Linked DNA regions of Danio rerio. The protein of the gene in region 1 purifies or fractionates together with the protein of each later gene. This does not show direct contact. Links are inferred from orthologs where the notes say so. Each region holds a gene or a part of one and is shown on either strand. Other genes may lie near its edges.

Region 1 (3,656 bases):
ATTTGTAGTTGTAAAACATATTCTGCATAATATTATTCCTACCCAATACTTAAACCCAATACCTGTTAATAAGCAGCAGATTAGGAGTTTCAGGCAAAAACTGTTAATGCTTTGGTAACAGTGAGAATTTAACCTTTAAAATAAAGTATGACTTAATTTATATACATACATACACACACACACACACACACACACACACACACGCACACACACACACGTTATATGGGCCATTTATATGGATAAAGAAAATTAATAAAAAGTTTTTTTCCTATTGAAAAAACAAAAATTGGATCCAAGATGGCCGACTTCAAAATGGTCACCATGGTCACCATCCATCATGAAAAGTTTGCCCCCTCACATGTACTAATGTGCCACAAACAGGATGTTAATAACAGCAATCATTCCCAGTTTATGTTATTCCTTATTTATATGTGTATCCATATAAATGGCCCACCCTGTATGTATGCGTGTGTGTGTGTGTGTGTGTGTGTGTGTGTGTGTGTGTGTGTGTGTGTGTGTGTGTGTGTGTGTGTGTGTGTGTGTGTGTGTGTGTGTATGTGTATATATTTATATAATTATTTTTTAATCGTTTAACTGATTTCATTTATGGATTCAAAAGGCACCTTTTTGTTTAATGATGAATCTGTTATTATGAGCATCCCTGGGCCACTGCCTCGCCTATATATATATATAATTTTTTTTTCTTCAAAGTGTTACATAATTTTAAATCCTACAAATTATTTAGTCAAGAGAGATTGCATTTGTCATTTCCATGTTAAAGTTATTAAACCTTTGTTTAAATGAGTGCTTGTGTGTGTATACAGCTTTGCCATATGGAACACCATGATGGGAACATCTATATTAAGTATACCATGGGGAATAAAACAAGTAGGTGTATATTTCTCTCCTATATTTCCTTTGGTCATTGCCAGTTATACAATAAAGGTAATTTATTATAATTTATTTGTTCTCTTTCTAGGCTGGTTTTACATTGGGCATTATCATTATTGTTCTTATGGGCCTGTTGACGCTCTATTGCTGCTACAGAGTGTTGAAGTCCACAAAATCAATTCGTAAGCCAATTGCAACCATGCTTGTACATTTTTCGCACAATACATGAGTGATTCAGTGTAGCTCTTAAACACGTTCATTTATAATGTTAACATTCCCAGTTTAGCTGATATTTATTTATTTTTATTTTTTGTTTTGTTTTTTTTGACGGAGATAGTATTGTTTTGTTAGATGAACAGTGTGACCCAGGTTCAAATCCAGTGTTTCTTCTTACTTTTTTTTTTTAAGTCAAACAAATGTCATTTACACATTTCTGTCGTCTTTAGTAAGACCAGCTTATGAGTCGTGAGGGATAAGTCTATATGCCTGCAAGTTCCATCATGGACACAGAACCACATTTAATATTTTTTGTCACAAAGTACAGTGAAAAGCAGCCCATACAGTCACATCTTTTATACGTGTTAAGGAGGAGTGTAAATATTACAGTTATGACAGAGTTAAATGTGTTTAGATGAAGAAAAAAACTTCGAAAAATCACTTGATCACGTTAAAATGACAGGTAATATGTGTGTATGTTTACTAATTTATTCACACATTTGCATTAATCAGAGCAGAAAAGAGACAAGCTGCCCTGTAAGCAGTATCTTAATAAAATTGTTTAATTAAAATAAATGATCAACAAATGAATCTGACGTGACGGTCTCTACAAGTGAATTCCCAATAAGAAAAATACTACAAACTATTCATTAAAGAAACAAAACAAATGCAATTGTCTAATGCAAGCGGGCTGCGTTTCAGACCAGTTCAGCTCAATAGTGTATAATGTCTCCAACATCTCCTGAAGTCCCATTTCACAACTTGATAACAACCGTCTTTTTAAAGAAGCGTCCCGATTTAAAAATAAATAAATAAATAAATCAAGACTGTGATGCAACTGATGTGTTATGTCGTAGAATAAAATGTGAAAGTATCTTAAGTTTGTGTTAGCCACCAACCTCATTTAAGAGATTTTTAATCAAAATCCCATTGAAAAAAAAAAACATCGACTTTGGGACGAGGCAACCAGAACTGCTAGAATGCTAACTCGCTTCCGGATTTTTGCCTACAAATTGACGTCATAGTTCCTCCACTCTATTGTGGTTGTGTATTACTCTTGAGGGGTTTGTTTACCTCTGCAATCCTTTCTACTTTATCTGATTTGATAAGGACATTTCTAAGGCCTCTGAATAATCAACATGATCAAAGGAAAGAAACCGGTTTTAAACCTGTTTAAAGTTTTTTCTATGAAGCTTATGCTTAAAAATAAATGTTAACAGAGTCATCATAATCAATTTTACCAATTCTACTAATGTATCTATAAAGACACAACAAACAATGTCTCTCTCTCTCTCTCTCTCTCTCTATTTTTTTTGTTTTACTTTAACTGTACACACACATTAACATACTGTTAAAACAGATTTATAAGCCTCCCCCCTGTTTATTTTATCCTCAATTTCTGTTTAACGAAGAGATTCCTTCAGCACTTTTCTACACATAATAGTTTTAATAACTCATTTCTTATAACTGATTTATTTTATCTTTGCCATGATGACAGTAAATAATATTTGACTAGATATTTTTCAAGACACTTCTATACAGCTTAAAGTGACATTTAAAGGCTTAACTAGGTTAATTAGGTTAACTAGACAGGTTAGGGTAATTAAGCAAGTTATTTTATAATGATGGTTTGTTCTGTTGACTATCGAAAAAATATATTGCTTAATGGGGCTAATAATATTGACTTTACAATTGTTTTTAAAAAATTTACAGCTGCTTTTATTCTAGCCAAAATAAACCAAATAATACTTTTTTTAGAAGAAAAAAATATTATCAGAAAAATTGTGAAAATGTCTTTGCTCTGTTAAACATAATTTGGGAAATATTTAAAAAAGCAAAAAAATAAAATAAAAAATTCAAAGGGGGCTTATAATTCTGACTTTAACTGTATGTCATTTTTGCTTGTCTTTTTTTCATATGTCATGCCAGAGTTAACATGAAGTTTTTTTTAAATATGAAACTCTGTGTCTTTGCAGCTTATGTAGATACCTCAGACTGGGAGTTTCCTGATGTGTGTAAATATTACTTTGGGGGTTTCGGAAAATGGTCCAGTCTCGTCTTCTCGTTGGTGTCACTGATTGGTGCAATGGTGGTCTACTGGGTGCTCATGTCTAACTTCCTGTTCAATACGGGAAAATTCATTTTCAGTACGTGACTGTTTTTCCTGCCCTTTCTCATTTGTTTTACTGCCAATTAGAATTCTAATATTGTTTTTCTGAATAACCTTTTAATTGTTTTTCTGAATAACCTTTTATATATTTTGCATTTACAGACTATGTTCACAATGTCAACACATCAGATGCATTTGGCACAAATGGAACTGAGAGAGGTGAGCAGTCATTATTATTATTATCATTATTAGTATAAAATAGTCTGAAGTTGTAAGCATAATCATTTACATTACATGGTCAAAGATACTCAACACAATCCAAATGGCTTGATTTATTAATTGCTCTGACTTGAGGCTGATTTATACTTCTGCATCAAGAGCACGTGTATGCTACGGCGTTAATGCATAGCCCTACGCCGTGGCCGTTGGCGTCGCTGAC
Region 2 (4,129 bases), on another chromosome or scaffold:
TTGTCTGCATTTCGCTCTGAGCCATTAGTGGGTTTTCTTTCTTGGTTTGGGTCAGGAATCAGTGGCTTCACCTCATCTCCATCCTGCAGGACCAAAACATCAACACATCCTGTTCAAACACCCAGAAAGACCACTTTATTTTCATGTAAGCTAACAGGCTGCATTCACGCTGCAGATCTTGATGGTCAATTGCGATTTTGTGACTGTATCTGATTTTTTTGATGACCTGCTTACATCATTAATTAAAAGGGACTCGTATCCGATTGTCTGCATTTACACAGTACACAGCAAAGGCGCAATGACCAGGAAAAATAATTAAATTAAATAAAAATAGAAAAAAAGAGTGGGCGATATCCCAATATAAAAATAAATCATAAATACTCCTCATACTTTCGTACAACTGTTATAAATACTCCCAGACCTGAAAATCCACTAATACATTCAACTTTTCCATCATTGAGAAAACCCTTAATACTACATATCCCCAAACATTAACATTAGGACATGTCAGATCTGACACATTAGATCCAAATCCAACACAATTTACGACAAATCCCACAGAAACACCAGCTTTAGTTCATTAAAAAAACACACGTTGATGATCAAATATACATAAAAAAAGTAGCGTAACTGGAATAATTTTGACGCAGTTTTGACAAACACTCAGCATTGAGCTGTTCTTGAATCATAAACACACAACTGTATTAAAAATGTGTCGTAAGTAAATGTTGTTGCAGGACTACAGACGCTACATTAAGCTGCATTATTAGTGTTTTGGGTATTTGTCTGTACTGGACAGCATAACACCAACTTTTAGTGCAAACCCTACAATATTTAGACATTTTAATTTAAAACATTTTCACGTTTGGCTTCAGTTTATTATTTAAAACCAACTAAAATCATAACTGCATTAAACTGTATTAAAAGTGTGTCGTAAGTAAATGTTGTTGCAGAACTACAGACGCTACATTAAGCTGCATTATTATTGGTATTTTAAGTTATTTTTCAGCATTGGACAGCATAAAACTAACTTTTAGTGTAAATCCAACAAAATTTGCACATTTTAATTTAAAAACCTTTTCACGATTGGCTTAATTAATTTTTTTTTTTTAGCTCACTAAAATCAGAAATACTCCTCATATTTTCGTACAACTATTATAAAAACTCCCAGGCCTAAAATCCACTAATACAGTGGTTCTCAAACTGTGGTACGTGTACCACTAGCGGTACGCAGGCTTCCTTCTAATGGTACGCAGAGGAATCCTACATGTCACGTACAAGCAACATATATTTCAAAATTTATCAAAAATGGTTTGAATATGAATATGATGACATATAGCCTATTTATGAGGTCCAAGCAACATTTCCAGGTTTTGATAAATAGGACTTTACATTTAAGTACAGCAGTTTTTTTCTATTTAAGGACAGTAACCTACCATTTTTATTAAACCTTTAAAAGCACATTAATTTAAACGTTAACATTAATTTTTTTGTTTGTTTGTTTACATATAAGCAGAGTACAGTCTTAATGTTACTATTTATAATGTTTAAAGTGGCTTATAATAATAAATATCCTTAATAGTAGTAGTTATTTTACCACGTTATTAAACTGTGCAGAGCTGCAGCTGTTTTACTGGGCCTACTACGCTACTGTATTTCAATACCGGTCATTATGGTGGTACTTGGAGGAACAATCTTTTCTGAGGTGGTACTTGATGAAAAAAGTTTGAGAATTACTGCACTAATATATTTAACTATTCCATCATTGTGGAAACCCTAACACTACATTTCCCCAAACATTAGCATTAGCACATGTCAGATCTGACACATTAGATCCAAATCCAACACAAAACTCTCAATTTAAGACTATTTCCACCGAAACACCAGCTTCAGTTCATTACAAACACACGCTTATGATATAATATACATAAATAAAGTAGCGTTAGTGGATTAAGTTTGTTGTAGTTTTGACAAACACTCAGTATTGAGCTGTTCTTGAATCACAAACACACAACTGTATTAAAAGTGTGTCGTAAGTAAATGTTGTTGCAGGACTACAGACACTACATTAAGCTGCATTATTATTGGTATTTTAAGTTATTTTTCAGCATTGGACAGCATAAAACTAACTTTTAGTGTAAATCCAACAAAATTTGCACATTTTAATTTAATAAACCTTTTCACGATTGGCTTAATTTTTTTTCTTTTTCACTCAATAAAATCATAAATACTCCCCATATTTTCGTACAACTGTTATAAAAACTCCCAGGCCTAAAATGCACTAATATATTTAACTTTTCCATCATTGTGGAAACCCTAACACTACATTTCCCCAAACATTAGCATTAGCACATGTCAGATCTGACACATTAGACCCACATCCAACACAAAACTCCCAATTTAAGACTAACTCCACCGAAACACCAGCTTCAGTTCATTACAAACACACGTTAATGATCAAATATACATAAATAAAGTAGCGTTAGTGGATTAAGTTTGTTGTAGTTTTGACAAGCACTCAGTATTGAGCTGTTCTTGAATCACAAACACACAACTGTATTGAAAGTGTGTCGTTAGTAAATGTTGTTGCAGGACTACAGACGCTACATTAAGCTGCATTATTAGTGTTTTGAGTTACCGGATCCGTCGTCTCGCTGTCGCTGCTGAAACAGCACCCCATGATGGCCGCCCAGCGGGTTCAGTATCCTGAATTTGGGTTTTTTATTCGTCTCAGGAGCGTTTTTGAGGTTGTGTTTGCCTCTTGGCTGTGAAGAGATTTGCTGCAAACGCAGAAACCATCACATGACAGCACTCCCAATCGTGTCACGTGTCTTCCGTCTCCACACTGGCACGTCAGTTCCGCCCCAAAAACCCGTTAAAAACCTTCATAGATATATACATTAGATGTCGCCTGGCCTATTGTTGTCTATTGGACGGAATGCGTCAATAGCGCCGCCATCTTGCTACAGGGTAGCGCTCCTTTGAAATGAATGCAGGACCAAGGTACAGTGGAGGACTGTGGCCATCCAAAGCCAGAGATATACACATATATCTATGATCGGGAGTTTTCCTGGATGTTGTATGTAATTTTTTTTTTCTAATTACGAAAATTATAATTTTACATCACATTCCTGACAAAAAGCTTGTGTTTGTGTGTACAGAAATGTACTATCCACCCTCCCTGTTAAATTTGATCTAATCATGTCCTGAAACACAGCTCCTCTCCTGCTTTCACTTCTCATACTGACGGAGCGGGAGCGAGTTGGAGCTGCTTTGCCTTATGGTGAATGCAGTAAGTCACTGTTTTCATCAATAACGTTACCTGATTAGCACAAAAGTTCAGAACATACAAAAACAGAAAAAACTTTTTATTACCTATGGAATGTTCTGCCTTTGTGCTTTGTTTTCTGTTTTGCTCGCTAAAGTCCCGCATCTTCACGTAATAACACTGACTTGACTAGTGCGGTTGAATGACATTTGTACTGGGAGCACTGTACCAATGTGGCGGCGCTATTGACGCATGCTCAGGGTCCCTATGCGATATCTAGTGTGTGTATGTATGTATATATGGAATGTATATATGTATGTATATATATGTATGTATATATATGTATATATATGTATATATATATATGTATGAAAAACCTTTAGGAAACCTTTATGAAAAACCTTTAAGAAACATCATGCTTTTTTTTTTTTTTTTTTTTTGCAATAATAACAGTACTTTACAACAAATACAGATACAAAACTGAAAGTATGGTACAATCAATAGAAATATTACTTTTTGAAAAAGTGGAATGTAACAAATTTAGAACAAATATAATATAGGTAAATCAAAATAAAGACAACGAGAGAGAGAGAGAGAGAGAGAGAGAGAGAGAGAGAGAGAGAGAGAGAGAGAGAAATAATAATAATAATTAAGGGCACATGACAAAGATTAAACAAATTATTGCAGGATATTAAATAAAGCACATATTTTATAAGTTTTAATAGCTTTCTTATTGTGAGAGTCTGTGATGGGTTTTTTTTTAAATAAAGAGCTAGTTCTCGTTTAAAAAAAAAAAAAAAAATAGGCTTACAATGAGTATATTTGCATTTGTGTATAAAAAACTTTCCAATAAATAAAATG
Region 3 (4,089 bases), on another chromosome or scaffold:
ACAATTGAATAATAACTTAATTCTAAAAAAGCTATCATAACATTATTTATCAATAAGCAGGCTCTTTTTAGATTCTCGTAAGCTATAAAAATTAAAAATGTAAAACAGAAAATACGTTGGAACATTTGTTTTTGTTTACATTCCTCAAAATGATCTATCGTCAGAATAAGAAGAGATCAGACAAACATGTTCTTATATTTAAATTATTCAAAATTGATCAGTAGTTTGAAGAATAGTGACAAAGGATATTTAAATGACAATTGTCAATAGGGGCTGCACTGTAATTCATAATATTAATAGTTTGATATGTCTTTAATAGTTTCTTGCAAATATGATTGACAGTTTACTGGTGTATATAAAATATTGTTAAACTAAAAGACATTTAAGTGGGTTTCTTGACAAATTTAGGTAATTATTACTACATAAAAATAATTTATATATAAATGTTTTTTCTAAAATATTTGGCTGATATGATAGATAGATAGATAGATAGATAGATAGATAGATAGATAGATAGATAGATAGATAGATAGATAGATAGATAAACATAAATATTTTTTTAAAAAGCAAGTCTTCATCCATATATTTGTAATGACACATATTTGATAATTAGATTGTAATATATGATGTTGAGTCATTCAGACATTTAGGATCGTGTCACTTACTTGAAGGTCTCCTCTATCTCTGTAACGCTGGTTTCCTTCTCCACCACCAAGAAATTGGGTTTACGGTTTTTATTGAGCTCTCCGATCCCTCCGAGGAGAAATCCGGTGCACGTGTCTTCATCACCGATAACTGCGATTAATTTTCCTCGTCCGGGCATCGTGACTTTGTCTTATATTTTGCTCAAATAAAAGACGCAGAATGGACGAAATGTTTTCCGTTCAGCAGGATCATATGCTTTAATCAGCTGACCACTTCACTTCCGCTTTGCGTAGTCGCGTAAGCGCCTTATTTAGCTGATCTGAGATCTGTGCTGCTCGCGTTAACGACCGACCTGTGTGCGGTGATTATGACAGCGAATCTGATCCTGATACAGATTATTTTTTGTTAAATGCGAGAACAGCGCATAAATCCTAGCAAATTAAATAAAAATCCGCCACGTTTTAGTCATACTAAGATTTTTTATCACATTTTGTACGTTTCCAATGCATATAAACAAAAATAATGTCGAATAAGCAAAACATCTCCTGGAATGACGTTATAAACACGCGACGCTTGATGTCAGTCACGTGAGGCGGGGTGTGAAGGAAAACAGCAGTGTACATTTATCTGCACTGTCTAAAATGGTAAATATAATTCTTACCTTTAAAATATTTGTTTAATTAAATGTTTTTTTTATTAAATGTTTTGTTTTAGTGCATTTAGAACTTATAAAACAAAGATTTTGTAAATAATGTGATTGATGATGCAGTCTAATATCATATGAGCTCTGTTAGTGTTTAATTACAGTATTATCGTGTGTTGAATGTCAGACTACTGCTTTGACTCAAGGCTTGGAGAGAATACCCGATCAACTTGGGTACTTGGTTATTAGTGAAGACGGAGTACTCGCGGTAAGCTGTTAAAATTCATAACTTACATTTTCGGAGAACTTGACATGAGGGTGAAATGCGTTGAAAAGAGAATCCTGATTTGGGCAAATGAGAAATAATTAATTAGAATTCAATGTCTGTCAGTCTTATTGTTCTGTCTGTCTCTGTTTGCCTGTCTACACTTTGAGGCAAAATTATTACGCCTCTACTGATACATATTATTTAAAAAAAAATTCCCAAGTTATGATGAACTGAGCAATGACATTTTCACAGTATTTTCTATAATATTTTTATTCTTGAGAAAATTTTTTATTTCTTTTATTTTGTCTGGAATAAAAGCAGTTTTTAAATAAAAAAATAACAATTTTAATAGGTTAATAGGCCCTTAGAACAAAATAATGGTATTCAATGACTTGCCTAGTTAAACTTATTAACCAAGTTAAGCCTTTAAGTTACTCATTAAGATGAATTCTAATATCTTGTAAAATAACTAGCAAAATATTATGCAGTGTTATCATGGCAAAGACAGATTCTGTTAAAAAATATATATATTACAACTATTATTTTTAAAAATGTGTTGAGAAATCTTCTTCCTTTTGAACAGCCTTCATGAAAATAAATTAAAAAAGGAAAATATTTATTTATTGCCAATAATTGTGCCTTTAACTGTATCTATCTATCTGTCTGTCTGTCTGTCTGTCTGTCTGTTGGACACACCTGGCTCAAGGGGTTATCTCTCTCTCTGTCTCTTTCTATATATTCGATAGGTTCTATGTTTTAATCATATAATCAATTTATCATTTACAGTTGAGTCAGAATTATTAGCCTTGCTGTTTAATTTTAAATCTTTTATATTTTTCCCCAATTTCTGTTTTACAGAGAGATTTTTTTTCAACACTTTTCTAAACATAATAGATTGAATAACTAATGAATTTCTTTTATCTTCGCCATGATGACAGTACATACTATTTTACTACATATTTTTCAGGATAATAGTATTCAGCTTCAAGTTCAATTTAAAGGCTTAATTGGGTTAATTAGGTTAAGGAAGATACTTAGTTTAATTAGTAATTTAATTAACAATAATTTGTTCTGTAGACAAGTTAAAAAAATATATTGCTTGGGGGGGGGGGGGTAATAATAATTGAGTTAAAATGGTATGAAAAGCTGCTTTTATTCTGGCCAAAATAAAACAAATAAGACTTTCTCCAGAGGAAACAATATTATATGAAATAATGTGAAAATGTCCTTGCTCTATTAAACATAATTTGGGAAATATTTAAAAAAGAAAATATCATAGGGGGATTAATAATGACTCCACTTGTCTCAGTTAAGCAGTAAGTGAATGTTTTTTGTAATCTACAGTCGGCAGGAGAGCTGGAGAATGACGAGCACACAGCAGGAGTGATCATGCAGATGGTCCGAACAGCTTGTCGCTTCAGATTACATGGGACTGCAGAGCCCCCATTCAAGCGCATGTCTGGTAAGAAACGCACTTCATTTTTAGATAAATGCTGAATGATGATAGAACAATATTTCACTCATATTTTGTCATTTAATTTTCAAAAAATGTGATGTGAATTATTAAAGTAAACATGCTTGTGTAACATCAGGTTTATGTAATATTCAGATATCACTGTAGTATTAGTGTTTATTTGTAACATTAGGTTTAAGTATTATCCAGATATTTTTACAGTTTGAAATAGTTTTTATCTTTACATTTTGTGTTTTTTCTATTTAAAGTTTAAGCAATTTTGTTATGTATTTCTATCAGTTGTGTTTTTAAATAGGTCTGTTTAAAAAAAAAAAGGTTTTATTAGTTTTTATGGTTTCATGTGTAACCATTTTAAGTCTTTTTTTATCCTCTTGATTTTGTTTAGGAACAAAATAGCCCTAATAAAATAAAATAACCCTCTTTAATTTGTTGTTTTAATTAAATTTATTCAATAAGAAATAATTGATATATGATCATTTACTATTTTACAGTAAATCATTTTTACTTGCTGTGAAAATCCATAACTTCCAAACAAATACTGATATTAATGTATATTTTTTTCTTTCCTTTTTTGTCTGATGTCAGTGATGTTTGAAGACTACGTCTATGCTGTGACCATCTCCGGACAGAAGGTTTTCGTAGTGAAAAGGCAGAACAACCAGCGGGAGCCTGTTATCGTGTAGTAAAGAGGATAATATGGACTGATCTTTCCCACTATTACAAGCTCAAAATGGTGCCCTCACATAAAAATGACCCCGTCTTTACAACCACCCGATGTTTAGCACAATCACACTCTCTTTCTTTCTTAAGGTGAAATTTTGCAATGTTTTGGGGGCCTTTTGGTGATGTCAGGTGTATTTGACCTGAGCCAAAGTAAGTTCATGTGTTTCTCTTATTAGATTATGATGTTACATGGTTCATCTGATTTCTTTTTTTTGGATACAGGATTAAATTGTTTTTATATTTTAGTCCCTTTCATACTTGAGTGGTCACAATTATAGTATTGCTGGACATCATTATAGATTTGCATTAACATTTAACTCCAATAATCCATTAAGC

Evidence for each region.
Region 2: the proteins of slc38a9 (region 1) and lamtor1 purify together in Homo sapiens (co-immunoprecipitation; 5 studies listed by BioGRID and IntAct, with this or other methods). This does not show direct contact. The link is inferred for Danio rerio from reciprocal best matches to the Homo sapiens genes SLC38A9 and LAMTOR1.
Region 3: the proteins of slc38a9 (region 1) and lamtor4 purify together in Homo sapiens (affinity purification with mass spectrometry; 4 studies listed by BioGRID and IntAct, with this or other methods). This does not show direct contact. The link is inferred for Danio rerio from reciprocal best matches to the Homo sapiens genes SLC38A9 and LAMTOR4.

Annotation. Positions count from the first base shown.
Region 1 is NC_133185.1:7,425,260-7,428,915, forward strand, and holds part of slc38a9 (neutral amino acid transporter 9), read left to right. Parts: intron 1-824; coding exon 825-888; intron 889-979; coding exon 980-1,073; intron 1,074-3,083; coding exon 3,084-3,254; intron 3,255-3,379; coding exon 3,380-3,436; intron 3,437-3,656.
Region 2 is NC_133190.1:46,802,673-46,806,801, forward strand, and holds the start of lamtor1 (ragulator complex protein LAMTOR1), read right to left. Parts: upstream 2,864-4,129; 5' UTR 2,681-2,863; coding exon 2,639-2,680; intron 84-2,638; coding exon 1-83. UniProt on the Homo sapiens protein: Key component of the Ragulator complex, a multiprotein complex involved in amino acid sensing and activation of mTORC1, a signaling complex promoting cell growth in response to growth factors, energy levels, and amino acids.
Region 3 is NC_133179.1:20,644,696-20,648,784, forward strand, and holds the start of lamtor4 (ragulator complex protein LAMTOR4), read left to right. Parts: upstream 1-1,226; 5' UTR 1,227-1,286; coding exon 1,287-1,289; intron 1,290-1,439; coding exon of another isoform or gene 1,440-1,475; coding exon 1,476-1,556; intron 1,557-2,900; coding exon 2,901-3,018; intron 3,019-3,615; coding exon 3,616-3,713; 3' UTR 3,714-4,089. Other genes in the region: atp6v1f (V-type proton ATPase subunit F), read right to left, coding at 666-823. UniProt on the Homo sapiens protein: As part of the Ragulator complex it is involved in amino acid sensing and activation of mTORC1, a signaling complex promoting cell growth in response to growth factors, energy levels, and amino acids.